2 linked regions of the Neurospora crassa OR74A genome follow. The main gene of each other region encodes a partner of the protein of the gene in region 2 in a complex. Links are inferred from orthologs where the notes say so. Each region holds a gene or a part of one and is shown on either strand. Other genes may lie near its edges.

Region 1 (6,697 bases), on a different chromosome or scaffold from region 2:
TGACGACCCAATAATTGCCTGCAAAAGTCAGACACTGCCAGCCCCCAGTTGTCTTGGAGGGTACTTTGTTTCCTTTGCTTCTAGTACATACACCAATACGCAATCTCCGGTTTTACTGATTGAAGCTGGAGGGCCTTTGTCGCGCATTTCCAGAGGTTGATATCGGCCGCCTTGACGGCAGCGGGGATCGTGATGTTGTCTGTCATGACGATTGCGTTCGGGCGTCTGACAGAATGCCTTGGCTGTACGTTCGGATCAAGATAAGAGAATCTATAGGGAGAGAGGATAACTGAAGGTATGCAAACCAGGAAAGAGGGGAAGTACTGCTCGTCGTTATCTCTCAGCTCGCTTCCTTGTCAAGTCCCATGGAGCAGAGGAGGGTTGACAGTTGAACATGGACTGGACCGTCCGTGACTAGCGTCGTCACCTACCCTACCCTATCTTTCCGCGGCTGTCTCTAGAGTACGTACTGCGTACGAACGGCAGGCGGCACCAATTCAGTCCAGTTGTTAGCGTCCTCTTCCCCACATTCCCGCCCAGCCCTCTGCTAGGTCTCAAGCGCCATCGATGCCATCCACATCATGATGTGCCTTGGAGCTTGGGCCACATTCCAGTCATAGCGCGTTTCAAAGCACTGAAAGCGCTCCCGGACCGCAGCTCCTCCCCTGGTGATTCTGGACGCTTCTGACTTCATTTGTATGTGGCGCCAGCTTTCACAGCTTCTGAGTTGAAATGTGTTCTTTTGCCGAACCTGGGAAGATGACAGCTTTTCCTTTCATCTCAATCGGTGTGTCTGTTTGTTGCTTCCTTGGGTTTCAAATACACGACACCATCTTTCACACGGGACTGAATCCCTAGGACGCCCATACGGAAGAGCTTCCTTTGTTCTCACTTACACTTTGTATTGGTATCGGCTATTGTACATTCATGACATTATAGCTCCAACCCCACAAACCTCATCTATCATCATCCCCCCATACATACATACCACCGTCACCCAGTAAACAAAAGCGTCGCCTTCCTGACTGTACCATGCATCATTCCACCCTCTGTGCTCTGGCAGTTGGTATCCTGTCTGCGCTCCCCGGAGCCCAGGCGGGCCTTTATACCAAAAAGTCCCCAGTTTTGCAGGTTGACGGAAAGGATTACGATAGATTGATTGCCAAGAGCAACCAGACGTCTGTAAGTACCAGACCGACTATATCTTAGATCAGCCATCGTAATAATGCATGTATGTGTCTGACCTCTCTCCCTTGCAGATTCTTGAGTTCTACGCCCCCTGGTGCGGCCACTGCCAAAACCTCAAGCCCGCCTACGAAAAGGCTGCCAAGAACCTCGAAGGCCTGGCCAAGGTCGCCGCCGTCAACTGCGATGAGGACGCCAACAAGCCCTTTTGCGGCAGCATGGGCGTGCAGGGCTTCCCGACCTTGAAGATCATCCGTCCTTCTAAGAACGGCAAGCCCATAGTGGAGGACTACCAAGGCCAGCGCACCGCCAGCGCAATTGTCGATGCTGTGGTCTCGCGCATCAACAATCACGTCGTGAAAGTCGAGGACAAGAACCTCGACAAGTTCCTGAGTGACAAGAACGAGACAGCCAAAGCGCTCCTCTTCACCGACAAGGGTACCACCTCCCCCTTGCTGAAGAGCGTCGCCATTGAATTCCTCGGTGTCATGCCCGTCGGTCAGGTGCGAAACACTCAGTCCAAGGCGGTATCCACATTCGGTGTCGACAAACTCCCTACTCTGATCTTGTTGCCTGGCGGTGATGCCCCTGGTATTGTGTACGACGGCGAGATCAACAAGGCCGCCATGGTGGAGTTCCTTTCCCAGGCGGCCCAGCCTAATCCGGACCCAGCACCGGCCAACGGCAAGACTAATGGCAAGACTAATGGCAAGACTAATGGCAAGGCTAATGGCAAGGCTAATGGTAAGGCCAACGGCAAGGCCAACGGTGGTGAAAAAAACGGAAAGCAAGACTCCAAGAAGGTCGCCTCCTCCGAAACCTCCTCTGAAACGTCCTCCGAAACCCCTGCCCCAACCCAAGAGATTCCCGTAATAATCCACACCGCCCTCCCCATCCCCTCCCTCAACACCCCCGAAAAGCTCGTCAAGGAATGCCTCACGTCCAAATCCAGCACCTGCCTTCTCGCGCTGGTATCCTCTTCCAACGAAAAAGCCCAAAAGGCCCTCACCCACCTCGCCGAAATAAAATTCAAATATGCCCTCGGCCAACACAAGCTCTTCCCCTTTTACGAGGTGCCCCTCGACACCAACCCCGCCGGCGCGTCCCTTCTCAAATCCCTTGGCCTCAAGGAGGATGCTGACATTGAACTCATCGTCATCAACGCCCGTCGCGGATGGTGGAGACGCTACGACGCTGTTGGTGAGGGAGATGATTTCTCGGATCATGACAAGGTGGAGGCGTGGATTGATGCGATTAGGTTGAGCGAGGGCACCAAGAAAAAGCTGCCGGAGGGTATTGTTGTTGAGGCTTCTTCGACGGAGGAGGAGGAGAAGAAGAAGGAAAAGAAAGAGTCTGGTAAGGCTGAGAAGGCTGCTTCAAAGGAGGGGGAGACGCCTGAGGCCCAGTCGAAGACGGCCAGTGGTCACGATGAGCTGTGAGAGATTGGTGAAAGCGTAGTTTGCTGTGACTTGTGTCAGTGAATGGCTGGTCAAAAGTTGAAGGTTTTTTGGTACCTTTCAGTTTCGGAGAACGCTTTCAAAAGTTGGCGCACGTTTAACAGAAACGACATGTTGCTCACCTGACCAAGAGCTGTACTTTTGATTACATTGATAGTCGTGAAATTCGTCAAATTCGTCATGTTGCCTATTCTTTTTTGCTCCAAGCCTTTGTAATGCTACCTACCGTACCATATCCGATTCTGTGACCCGGAGCCCAACCATTGATTCAGTAGTGTCCATTCAATCCAGTTCCATGTCATTCAACCCAACCCCTCTCTCGACCGTGCCCTCCTGTATCATCTTTATCCCCTTCTCTCTCACTACCCTGTCCAAGATCTCCCTCACCTGCTTACACCCGTCCACGCCCACGGCCAACATGCCCTCCAGGCGACTCACCTGCACTCTGCTCTCGCAGACCAGCACCGCCACGCGGTCGCTGTCGCCCAATGTGGCCACCGTCAGGCCGGGCAGCTCCTGCTCCTCCTGGTGGTTCATGTCCAGCAGCGGGTCGGCGCCCTCGTCGTTAGCCGCGTATGTAGACGTCGAGCCGGCCGTGCAGGCCGCGACGTAGTCTGTCATGGGAATGCCGGCGTCGACGCAGGCGAGCGTGGCGGCATTGATGAGGGCGGCCAGCAAAGAGCCGTCTTGCGAGAGCACGTGCAGGGAGATGTTGATGGTGGAGTGCGGGAAGAGGTGGGTGTGTAAGCTGGCAGCGAGGGCTTGAGATATCGTCGATTGGAGTTCGAGGATGTGCCTGTGATGATGGAAGAAGGAAGGATGACGGGTTAGTTATGCGAACAGTGACAGACGAATAGCCGTAGTTGACACTGGGGGGGAAACAACCCCTGGGTGTTTTGACTTACTTATCACCTCTCCCCCTTCGCTTACGGTCAACCGAGCTAAACCCGGCAATGACAATGTTTACAGCAACCTCGGCGTTCTTGGACTGACCACCGCCACCACCACCGCCCGACGTGGCTCCCCTCCGAGGACCGGGCTCGCTGGGTCCGTTAACGACACACATGACCTTGGTGTGGCCCATCTCGAGGTAACTGGAGCCATCGGCGGCGGCCTGGGTGCGGATCTGGGCATGGATGCGACGCAGCTCGTTCCACCTGCGGCCGTCGACGCGCAACAGCGCGAGGCTATATGCTGAAGTATCGAGAGGCATAGCGGTGTAGCTGGGTGGACAGGTGTTTCTTTCTATGTTCTGTTGTTCTAGCGTTTCACTCTACTCCTCTGGGTATCGTGGTTCGGGCTAATCTCTCTACCGGGCAGGTAGCGAGTACACCAAAGGTCGAGATTGGGGTACGGTATCCAGTAAGGATCAACAACAACAAACGCCCTGAGGGCCTGTCTGGGGAGCCGGACCTGAGTCGAGATTTTTTGCTCTTGCTTCCCCTGCTTAGTGTCCACCAAGCTCAGGTTGTGCTTGTAGTTGTACCCTAGTCGTTCTTCGAGTCGGGTCGGCCAAGCTCGATCTGGGAGATCGTGGTTAGTGCGTACAGTTTCGGCTCGATGGGACAGATTATTCGATGCGATATCGTGCCGCGAGCGACGCGCAAGCTCTCGGTACGTTGAGTCGGAGGAGAGAAAGGCTTGCGTAATGCGGAAGTGTCGGGGCCCCAGTTTCAGTGACTAAGTTATCGCGCAAAGTGGGAATTCGGAGCTTCCGGTCGACCAGTCTGAATAATCGACAGCAGGTTCTGGTGGACGGTTGTTGACTTTGAAATCGCCTTTTGCTAGGAATAAACGGACGTGGTTGGGCCAGGCCGAAAGTTTCCAATGGCAAGACAGGAAAAGTTTAGCTGGGCGGGGCGGGGCAAGATCCGCTGCGTCTCACGTTCGCGGGGTCGCCGTGCCGGGCTCCACCGCTCACCTCACTCGGCAGGACGGGAGTTCCATCCGCAGGGCTTCTGCTTAAGTTCTGCTTCGCTTCCATCAGGAGCTGAAAATGCATGCAAGTGGTCTGTGCATACCTCTACACTACTTGTAGGCAAGTTGTTTGCAGCTGCAGACAGAGGACGGGACGTGATGGCCCCGGAACATGGAATTGAAGGTTCCCGTCCATCTACTCTCCACGTGATCTTGACAGCCCCCATTTGACCTCTCCAGCTCATAGCGGTACAGTGAGTTGATGGCAAGATATCAATCGAATGCGCAATGTTGATGGGATCTTGATCGTGCATTGTGAGCAGGAGAGGGCCTGAAGTCTGGACTCAGGAGTGATCACTACTAGGTAGCCTACCTAGAGGTAGGTAGGCTACCTCTACTCAGGGGCACACTGTGGCAGTGGCAGTGACCCCTTGTCAACAGCAAGGAGGAAACCGGCATTCCTCCATTCCCCCCTTCGCTAAGTGAATACGGGACAACGGCCACCAAGATCATCTCATGGGTACCGCGATGCGCTGGGTGTTCGAAATGTCAATTGGTTTGTATTCTTGGAAGCCTCGGTTGAGCGCGTCGTCATCTTCTATCATCTCGGACCCAAGAGTGATCCGGTTCTAGAAGTCTGGAACGCTCGCCAATGCTCCTGGAGCTCCCTATCTGGGGTGCGAATCGATCAAGGTTCAAGAGGATTCCGTTTGGTGTTTTTGGGGAGACTTGTTCAACATCAAGTCTCTACACTAGGAGGCGCCGTCGGTCGGCGCATGATGCAGCCCTAGACAGCCGGCCCAGGCTAGCACGAATTGGCCTAGTCTATCGATATGACTGAACAGAGATCCACCATGAGCAAGTCGTCATCCAGTGACCACAATGTCTTTGTCAACTAAACAGTTTCATCAGGCGCGGTTTGTTTCTCGTTTCACTGTGAAAACCTCGAGGTGCGCGCTTACTCATTGAAGAATTACTGCGCTGGTGGCCCGACCAGCCCACGGGGTCCAATGGAACGGAGAAACGGGGCAATGGGGAAGTGCTGTGTTGCCCAGTCTACCAAGGAACGACCCGCCAACGCCAATTCGCATTACACTTTTAATCAAACTGTGGATGAACGAACCATGAATTAGCCAAGGGGGCTCGCTAACACATTTCGCGGCACTTAATCCGGACATGTGTTAGGGATCAAAGCTCTTTGGTTGGCATTGCCCCCGTTTCCGTTCATCTCGTTTCAGACCACCCGACCGCGACCAGGCTTCGAGAAACAGGGCTAGCGCTGCTATCCTTGACGCCAGAGCAACGGAACCTTCCCGCCCCCATGCTCACCTAATCTCCAGAACACCAGTCAATGCACGTGCGTCCTGTCTTGGGCCCCTTTGAGTGAAAACGAAGAGAAAGGAACTCAACGAATGGGGTCACGATGACGAGTCTATTGTCAGCGAAACAACAATGGCTTCTTTGACTTTGGCAAGCTGGACGTGACCTACCTATTCTTGCAGTGGGTCAAAGGTGCTGCATAATACAAACCTGGAAGTCAGCGTTACGCCTTTGTGCGTCGTCGAAGGGTTCCATTGTTCCACCGAACTGCCGGCGAATTATGTAGGCGGGGGATAGCAAAGGGGCCAGCCAATCACAAGCATCAAGTACCTGAGCAGATGTCGTGGACGGCGGGTCGCTGCTGGCCACTCAGGGACGAGAGATGGGACGATCACCGCCCTGACGAGTGGCAGGGACTGCAAGACCCACTCGGCTCACCTGTCCAGACCAATCTTCCAGGTGCCAGGGATCATTTCTGCCAGGCCCTCATTTCGCTGCCCCGGGCAACGTCGCACTGCGCTGTGTGGAAGGCATGCCGGTCCCTGAACGCATGCGTGTGCGTGCCCCTGCAGGCGCCGTGGGACCACAAACGTGGACCAGGGGCAGCTCCTGTCGCTCTGTCGTTCGTTTCTTTTAACCACTTGACGCCCTCCTCCCTCTCCCTCGCGATTTTCATTCCTCCTCCATCCAACACACCACAACGACGCACAACGCCTCCTTTGTTGCGCTTCACCACACTCTTTTCTACAACTCTTGCGCAGATATCCCCATCTCGCAGCCATTCCTTTGGACCGCGGTCCCACGCTACACCAACACTC
Region 2 (6,122 bases):
GGACTGGAACGGTTGTTGAAGGGGGCTGCTTAGAGTGAACGATTGCGAGAGGGTGGATTGGTGCGTTGGCATATGAGGAACAGGGCCGGTAGAAGATTGGGCGGATTTGAGGTTGGGCGTTGATTTGCGCGAGGTCAAGAAGGCGGAGAGACGGGAGGCGGCGCCGGTGGGCAGGAAGGAGGAGACGGAGCTGACGCTGCGAGGGGCGGCGGGGGAGGCGTTGGCTGTTGCAGTGGTGGAGGGGGTTGCGGATTGGGGAGGGGTGGCGAGGGCTGCATCGGCGTGTTGTTGCTGTTGTTGCGGTGATGATATTTGGGACGCAACTGGGGAGGACTGGGATTGTTGTTGTTGTTGTTGTTGTTGTTGTTGTTGTTGTTGTTGTTGTTGTTGTTGTTGTTGTTGTTGTTGTTGTTGCTGCTGCTGTTTGAGTTGCCCTCGTAGTTGGGCTATCTCGTCTTCGTAGTCGGCCCAACGATCGACGGCGGATGAAGCCTTTTCGTTGAGCAGGCGCACTTGGCTTTGAAGTTCTTGGATCTTGTTGTGGGCATCGAGAACGGCCGCCTGCATCTCCAAGAAGGGTTGGGTCCCCTCGAGATCGATACCGCATTGTGGGCAGCAAGGAGCGGTAGATAACGTTTGGGTGACCGGTTCGACGATGACGGGGGCGGCGGTCATCGTCATGGTGGCGGTGGTTGACATGGCTCACCAGGGCCCCGTTAGGACAGATGATATCGACAAGGAGAGTTCGCGCGTCTTGTCGGATTGGACGAAAATCAAAGATGATGGATTGAAGCGGTTCGTCTGATCTCGATATTTTCTTCTCGGGAACGAAGTGGACTCCTGCCAGGAACAAGAAAACTAGATGGAGACGCCGTTGCGGTGGGGATGGACTGGTTCCCGTTGAAACAGGGGCAGGGAGCTTGTTGTTTTCGTCTTAGACTTTGTTTTGTGTATCTGGGGGGCGCTGAGTGAGATCGCTAACCAACACGCCGCCAGAGCTCCCACTCTGCCTCCTCCTTTTTTGAAGAATGACAAAGCTGTAAAAGGGAGGACAAGAAATGGGTGGAATGAATGTGTCTAGGTACCTCTAGGCACGCAGGGTTTCGGTGACGTACGGGAATCTACCGCCCTCCCCCGTTCTACGCCCCCCCGCCGTTCCGATGATCTTCAGCGGTATGTAGGTACCGCATGCACGATGCAAGGCCCATGTGGGGGGTATACGAGACGCCAAGCCGCCCTTGAGCCGCCTTAAAGAAACAGCACTCGTTAACGTTTGGCCCAGGCGGCGGATGACGGCACAGACAACAGATGAGGTATGTACCTAGGTATGCAAGGGAATAGTAAGGTACGTATGAAGAAGGCTATTGGTATCTTCTATGCAGATTTTAAACGGGTATCCAGTTTCTTGATGCAATGACAGGCGTAGCCGTGTCTGGCGTCACTATATCTTTCCTCGACGTGACAAGATCATACTAACTCGCCATCGTCTTCGTTATCCCTGAAACAGGCGCTGTATCATGACTGTGTTGTTCCGCTGTGTCAAGAGTGAATCGTGACATGTACCCATCTCCATACTTCTCTGAGTGCGAGCCCTATCACCCAAGACCATGTTCTGCGCGGTCTAACTTGGCGTACCTGGAGTATCCGCCGGAAACTCTGGGGCCAGGACATCTCTGGGCTTGGATTTGTCGCTGGGATGCTTGCTTGTGATGCGAGTGGCCGACCGTGTCGATGATGGACCGGCGGACCGTGAGAGCTCGACATTCGACGTGCCGCCGCATTTGCAAGTCCCCAACCGGGTACTGATTGAGCACCTGCTTTCACTACTCGGCGAGCTCTCCGAGCAGATTAACGCCCGTATCGCCTTGATAACACGCTGTACCTCAAGCTAGTAACTCCGCTATGCATTGCTTTTCAAGCATCTTTTTCATGTCTCATTTCGAAACTCCATCCGCCGACTTCAGTAGGGCTTCGCAACCTTTCTGGGTTCGCTTAGCCCCGTCTCAGGGTCCTTGTATTCCTTCCAGTTGACGGGGTACATGGTGTTACCGGCCTCGCTTGTCGCCATGATGACACCGAGCTCGTTACGCGCTGTCGACAGGTAGTAGCTGGCTTGGTCACCAAGAGAAATCTAGTGGGTGGCAGCACGTTAGCGGAAGTGTTCAGTCCATGTCTGGCAGAAAGGGAGAGGAGAAGAGCACTCACCACCTCGGCCCTGACAATATCTCCAGGCCTGAAGCTGTCGTAGATCTTTACCCTGTCCTTCTCTGTTGCTCTCACGTCCTGCACTCTGATCAGGCCCTGCCACTCGGCCTCCAAAACAGTATCGCCGCAAATTAGAATGGCCACAACGGCTTGGCGCGGCATGATGCGAATCACCCGGCATAGCACGATGTTGCCCACTTCAGGAAGCACCTCGCGCTTGTCTGACGAACCCGCTGAACGCAATACCGAGATGGTCGGTAGCTCGGCGGGCGTGGTCTGGGTGTTGATGATCTTGTTCAAGCGCTTAGCAGGGCCAGGCGCCTTGGCGGGCTGTGTGATGTTGACGACGCCGAGCAGCGAAGAGTAGAGGTTCGACTCGTGGATATGGGTTCCAGGACCGGGTTGGAACTTGGAGACAGGGCCTAGGAATTGGCCGGGGATGGCCATCGAAGGGGAAGAGGATGTGCTCGCCATTGTGTCGGTCGTTCTAGGTTGATGGAGCTATCGATGACAAAAGTTTGCGAATGGGTAAAAGTGGTATAGTATGAGACGCGGTGCGACGCGCAGAGGGAAACTAAACAAAAAAAAGATAACGATGCGACAAAACGGACCCCGCGGCGATAACAACTGAGATTGGAGCTTCTGGTACGTGGAGGTAAATGTCCATTCGATGGAATATTGAAATGTGATTGACCGGGCCCGCGGACGGGACTCAATGACGGAGGGGCACCGAAAAAATAGAAACCCCTGTCAGTGCCAAGAGCGCTGTTAGTGCCGCGCTGAGTGCTTTGCACCGACAGTGCTGCCGGGCAACTTGAGCTGCCCTGCCGGCGAGGGGAGCTTTACGGAGCTTCTGGATGCACTCCAGCCTGCCGGTGTGTCTGCCTCCAATTGGTCGTAGCGGTGGCTCCTTCAAGAAATCGGTTTAACGCTATCCGCGCAATTGAGCGTCCTTATTGGTCAAAGCTCTCAAAATCGAACGTGTCGGAAGTCGCAACACCCGCCTGGGCGGGCATGTTGCAACCACAAGGGTCCTCCACAAGGAAATCAGGGGTTGCCGTGGGTAGGTTTGTTGAGGTTGGGCTGACGGACCCCCCTGTCGGTGGTGGAATCTCTGTGGCCATTGTTTTGCTTCTTTATAATTCAAGATTCCCGTCTTCTCTCTCCCCTGTTTCTCCTCCTCGACATTGTGCCGTCTCGTCAATCACAAACCGTCACAATGCCTCCCAAGAAGCAGTCCTCCTCCGGCGGCAACAAGCCGTCCGGCTCTGGCTCTAGCTCCGGCCGCTCTTCCTCCGGTTCGTCTTGCCGCTGCAGCTGCCGCTGCCGCTGCAGTATCGGTGGCTGGCTCAAGTTCTTCGCCATCTTGTTCGCCCTAGTTGCGCCTATCGCCTACGTCCTGGAGCAGCGTCTCGAGTCCTTCTACGTCTTCGATACTGAGCACCTTCACGATCTGTCCAAGCGCGCCATCAGCGCCCACGGCAACGACACCAAGGCTATTGTCAAGTACATTGTCGACGAGCTGAACGACCGCAACGGCGTTGCGCCCTACGTCAACAACGATGAGGAGTGGGTGTTCAACAACGCTGGTGGTGCCATGGGTGCTATGTACATCATCCACGCCTCCATCACCGAGTACCTGATTATCTTTGGTAAGCCCCATCCTCCAGCACGCGTTTCGCAAGCTTGTGCTTCCCGCTTCTTCAGACCCATCACTAACAGCACACTCCACACAACAGGCACTGCCATCGGTACTGAGGGTCACACCGGCCGCCACACCGCCGACGACTACTTCCACATCCTCACCGGCACTCAGACTGCCTACGTCCCCGGCGAGTACGAGCCTGAGGTCTACCCTCCCGGTTCCGTTCACCACCTCGTCCGCGGTACCGTCAAGCAGTACAGGATGCCCGAGAGCTGCTTCGCGCTCGAGTATGCGCGCGGCTGGATCCCTCCCATGCTGTTCTTCGGTTATGCCGATACCCTCAGCAGCACGCTCGATTTCCCTACCCTCTGGCGCACCTCCGTCATCACCGGCCGCGAGATGATTAGCAACTTGCTCAAGGGCAAGTTCTAAGCATTGTGCTTTACGAACTGTCCCCTTCGCGAAGGGTGTTTTGCTTACGAAGGTTTTGGAAACCATGGGATAGAATATAGAGTAGAGATAAGGCTTCTCGGCACAAGCGGCGTCTACGCTAGACCGGAGTTTGGGTTAGATCAAGATATATCCATACCTATATTCACAATCTACGGTAACGTAGTCAAAACATTACTACAAAGATACTCTCTTTTGGAAATGTTCGTCGCCTCTGTTTGCACATTCGCTGGTGAGTCCTTGCCCTGAGGTAGTTGTCACAAACCTTCGTAGAGAATGCACGGGTTGGCTTTATTATACCTGTGTTCTGGTTTAGTACAGCTGACCCGCTCGCTTCCAGACAGACTTCTGTATTGGTGCTTTGTCTTCTCTTCTCTTCACTTCTCTCTTCACTTCTCTCTTCACTCCTCTCTTCACTCCTCTCTTCACTTCTCTCTTCGGCAAAGTGCTCATGTCCGTGCCCATGTTTTCTACATATCTATACATCACTAGGTAACCCCTGAACCGCCGTCGCGCAAACATCACGATTCCTAACATCCATGTGTACACTCCCTCGGCATTTCTCAGCACGCCTATCTCCTGCTCTAGACTTCATGCCACCAAGTAGTCTATTCCCCCCTTCCTACGATGACAGCTGGCTATACCTCGGTTTACTGTTATCCTCATTTTACTTCGGCCAAAGTAGCCAGTCCATCACCACGCCACTGCGCCGCGAGACGGGACGGCGAAACGACAAGCTGGACGAAGATGAATGGTTTTACGAACAAATGACGATTCGATTTATTCCAATTTCATCAACTTTTCTTTTGGGGAAAGCATACAAGCACTGAGGGTTACGTTTTCCATGGACAACGCCTTTAGAGTCTGGCATGTTGCCCACTGTGATCTCTTCTTCTCCTGAAGGAAGGTATGCTACATAAATAAGGCAAAATGGGTGAACACGAGTGTGACTAGATCACGATATCATTGGAGTGGGTGATTTCAGTATTGGTTTGTTTTTGAATGAGACTGAGGTAATTAATTCAAAGAAAGAAATATTGGATTTTCCAAAATAACATATCGTAATACTTAACAGCATTGCTCGTGCCATGATGCTCTCATGATGGGAGTGTTGTTGCTGGACAAGAGAGATGTAGTTACGATCGTCAGTCTGGGTCTCTGTCGATAACCAGACTGTGTTTAGTGTTGGACAGAGGTTGAACACAGCTTTGAGACCAGCTTAGAGTCTTCCAAACCTTCAACGTGGCTTTCATGAGACGTTCAGGAATATAAAATTGCGAGAATACTATTAAGCGCCTGACGTTATCTTCGCCATGTTGTCACTGTAGATTGTACTTCGTTCAGCTTAGTACTACCGAGTTGTCGTAGTTTGACTATGGAGACTCAGGATCAGCACTCGGCCACAGTTCATCTCATCTTTATTTAAAGACGTCATGGATGGCACATAAAATTTCCTCATGACCAAAAGTTGCCTATGACTGTGCGTAAAGCCGTCAGGCCTTATTCTCAAGTTTTGAGATTACGAACAGCGAGATAGAGAGAGGCCTTTGGCGAGGAGTATTATCTCGACCGGGCGGCAGGCAGTTTATCAATGACTTCCTGGGTAGCGGTACCGGCCAACAAGGCTGATCGACATTGTCAACAGGAAACCCAGACCCATCTGCGTCCCCGCCTGTCATCGCCATTTTCCTCATCATCGGTTTCTCGTAATGGTGGCTTTCAACTTCGATATCGTGCGGTTGGTTGGCTTTGGAGTTTTAGACCCCTCATCCGAAGTAGAGCATACAGCAACCGAGATGCAACATGTTATTTTAATCATCAC

Evidence for each region. The genes of interacting proteins can lie anywhere in the genome.
Region 1: NCU04155 (region 2) and NCU00812 share a complex: the UniProt entries of both Schizosaccharomyces pombe proteins name them as parts of the RNA exosome complex. The link is inferred for Neurospora crassa OR74A from reciprocal best matches to the Schizosaccharomyces pombe genes csl4 and rrp41.

The regions. Positions count from the first base shown.
Region 1 is NC_026501.1:7,075,462-7,082,158, forward strand, and holds NCU00812 (exosome complex exonuclease RRP41), read right to left. Parts: upstream 4,463-6,697; 5' UTR 3,856-4,462; coding exon 3,548-3,855; intron 3,439-3,547; coding exon 2,925-3,438; 3' UTR 2,625-2,924; downstream 1-2,624. Other genes in the region: NCU00814 (hypothetical protein), read right to left, coding at 1-18, 92-206; NCU00813 (disulfide isomerase), read left to right, coding at 1,033-1,182, 1,260-2,624. UniProt on the Schizosaccharomyces pombe protein: Non-catalytic component of the RNA exosome complex which has 3'->5' exoribonuclease activity and participates in a multitude of cellular RNA processing and degradation events.
Region 2 is NC_026505.1:5,017,777-5,023,898, forward strand, and holds NCU04155 (exosome component 1), read right to left. Parts: upstream 2,985-6,122; 5' UTR 2,680-2,984; coding exon 2,206-2,679; intron 2,132-2,205; coding exon 1,961-2,131; 3' UTR 1,330-1,960; downstream 1-1,329. Other genes in the region: NCU04154 (hypothetical protein), read right to left, coding at 1-699; C-8 sterol isomerase erg-1, read left to right, coding at 3,425-3,857, 3,945-4,282. UniProt on the Schizosaccharomyces pombe protein: Non-catalytic component of the RNA exosome complex which has 3'->5' exoribonuclease activity and participates in a multitude of cellular RNA processing and degradation events.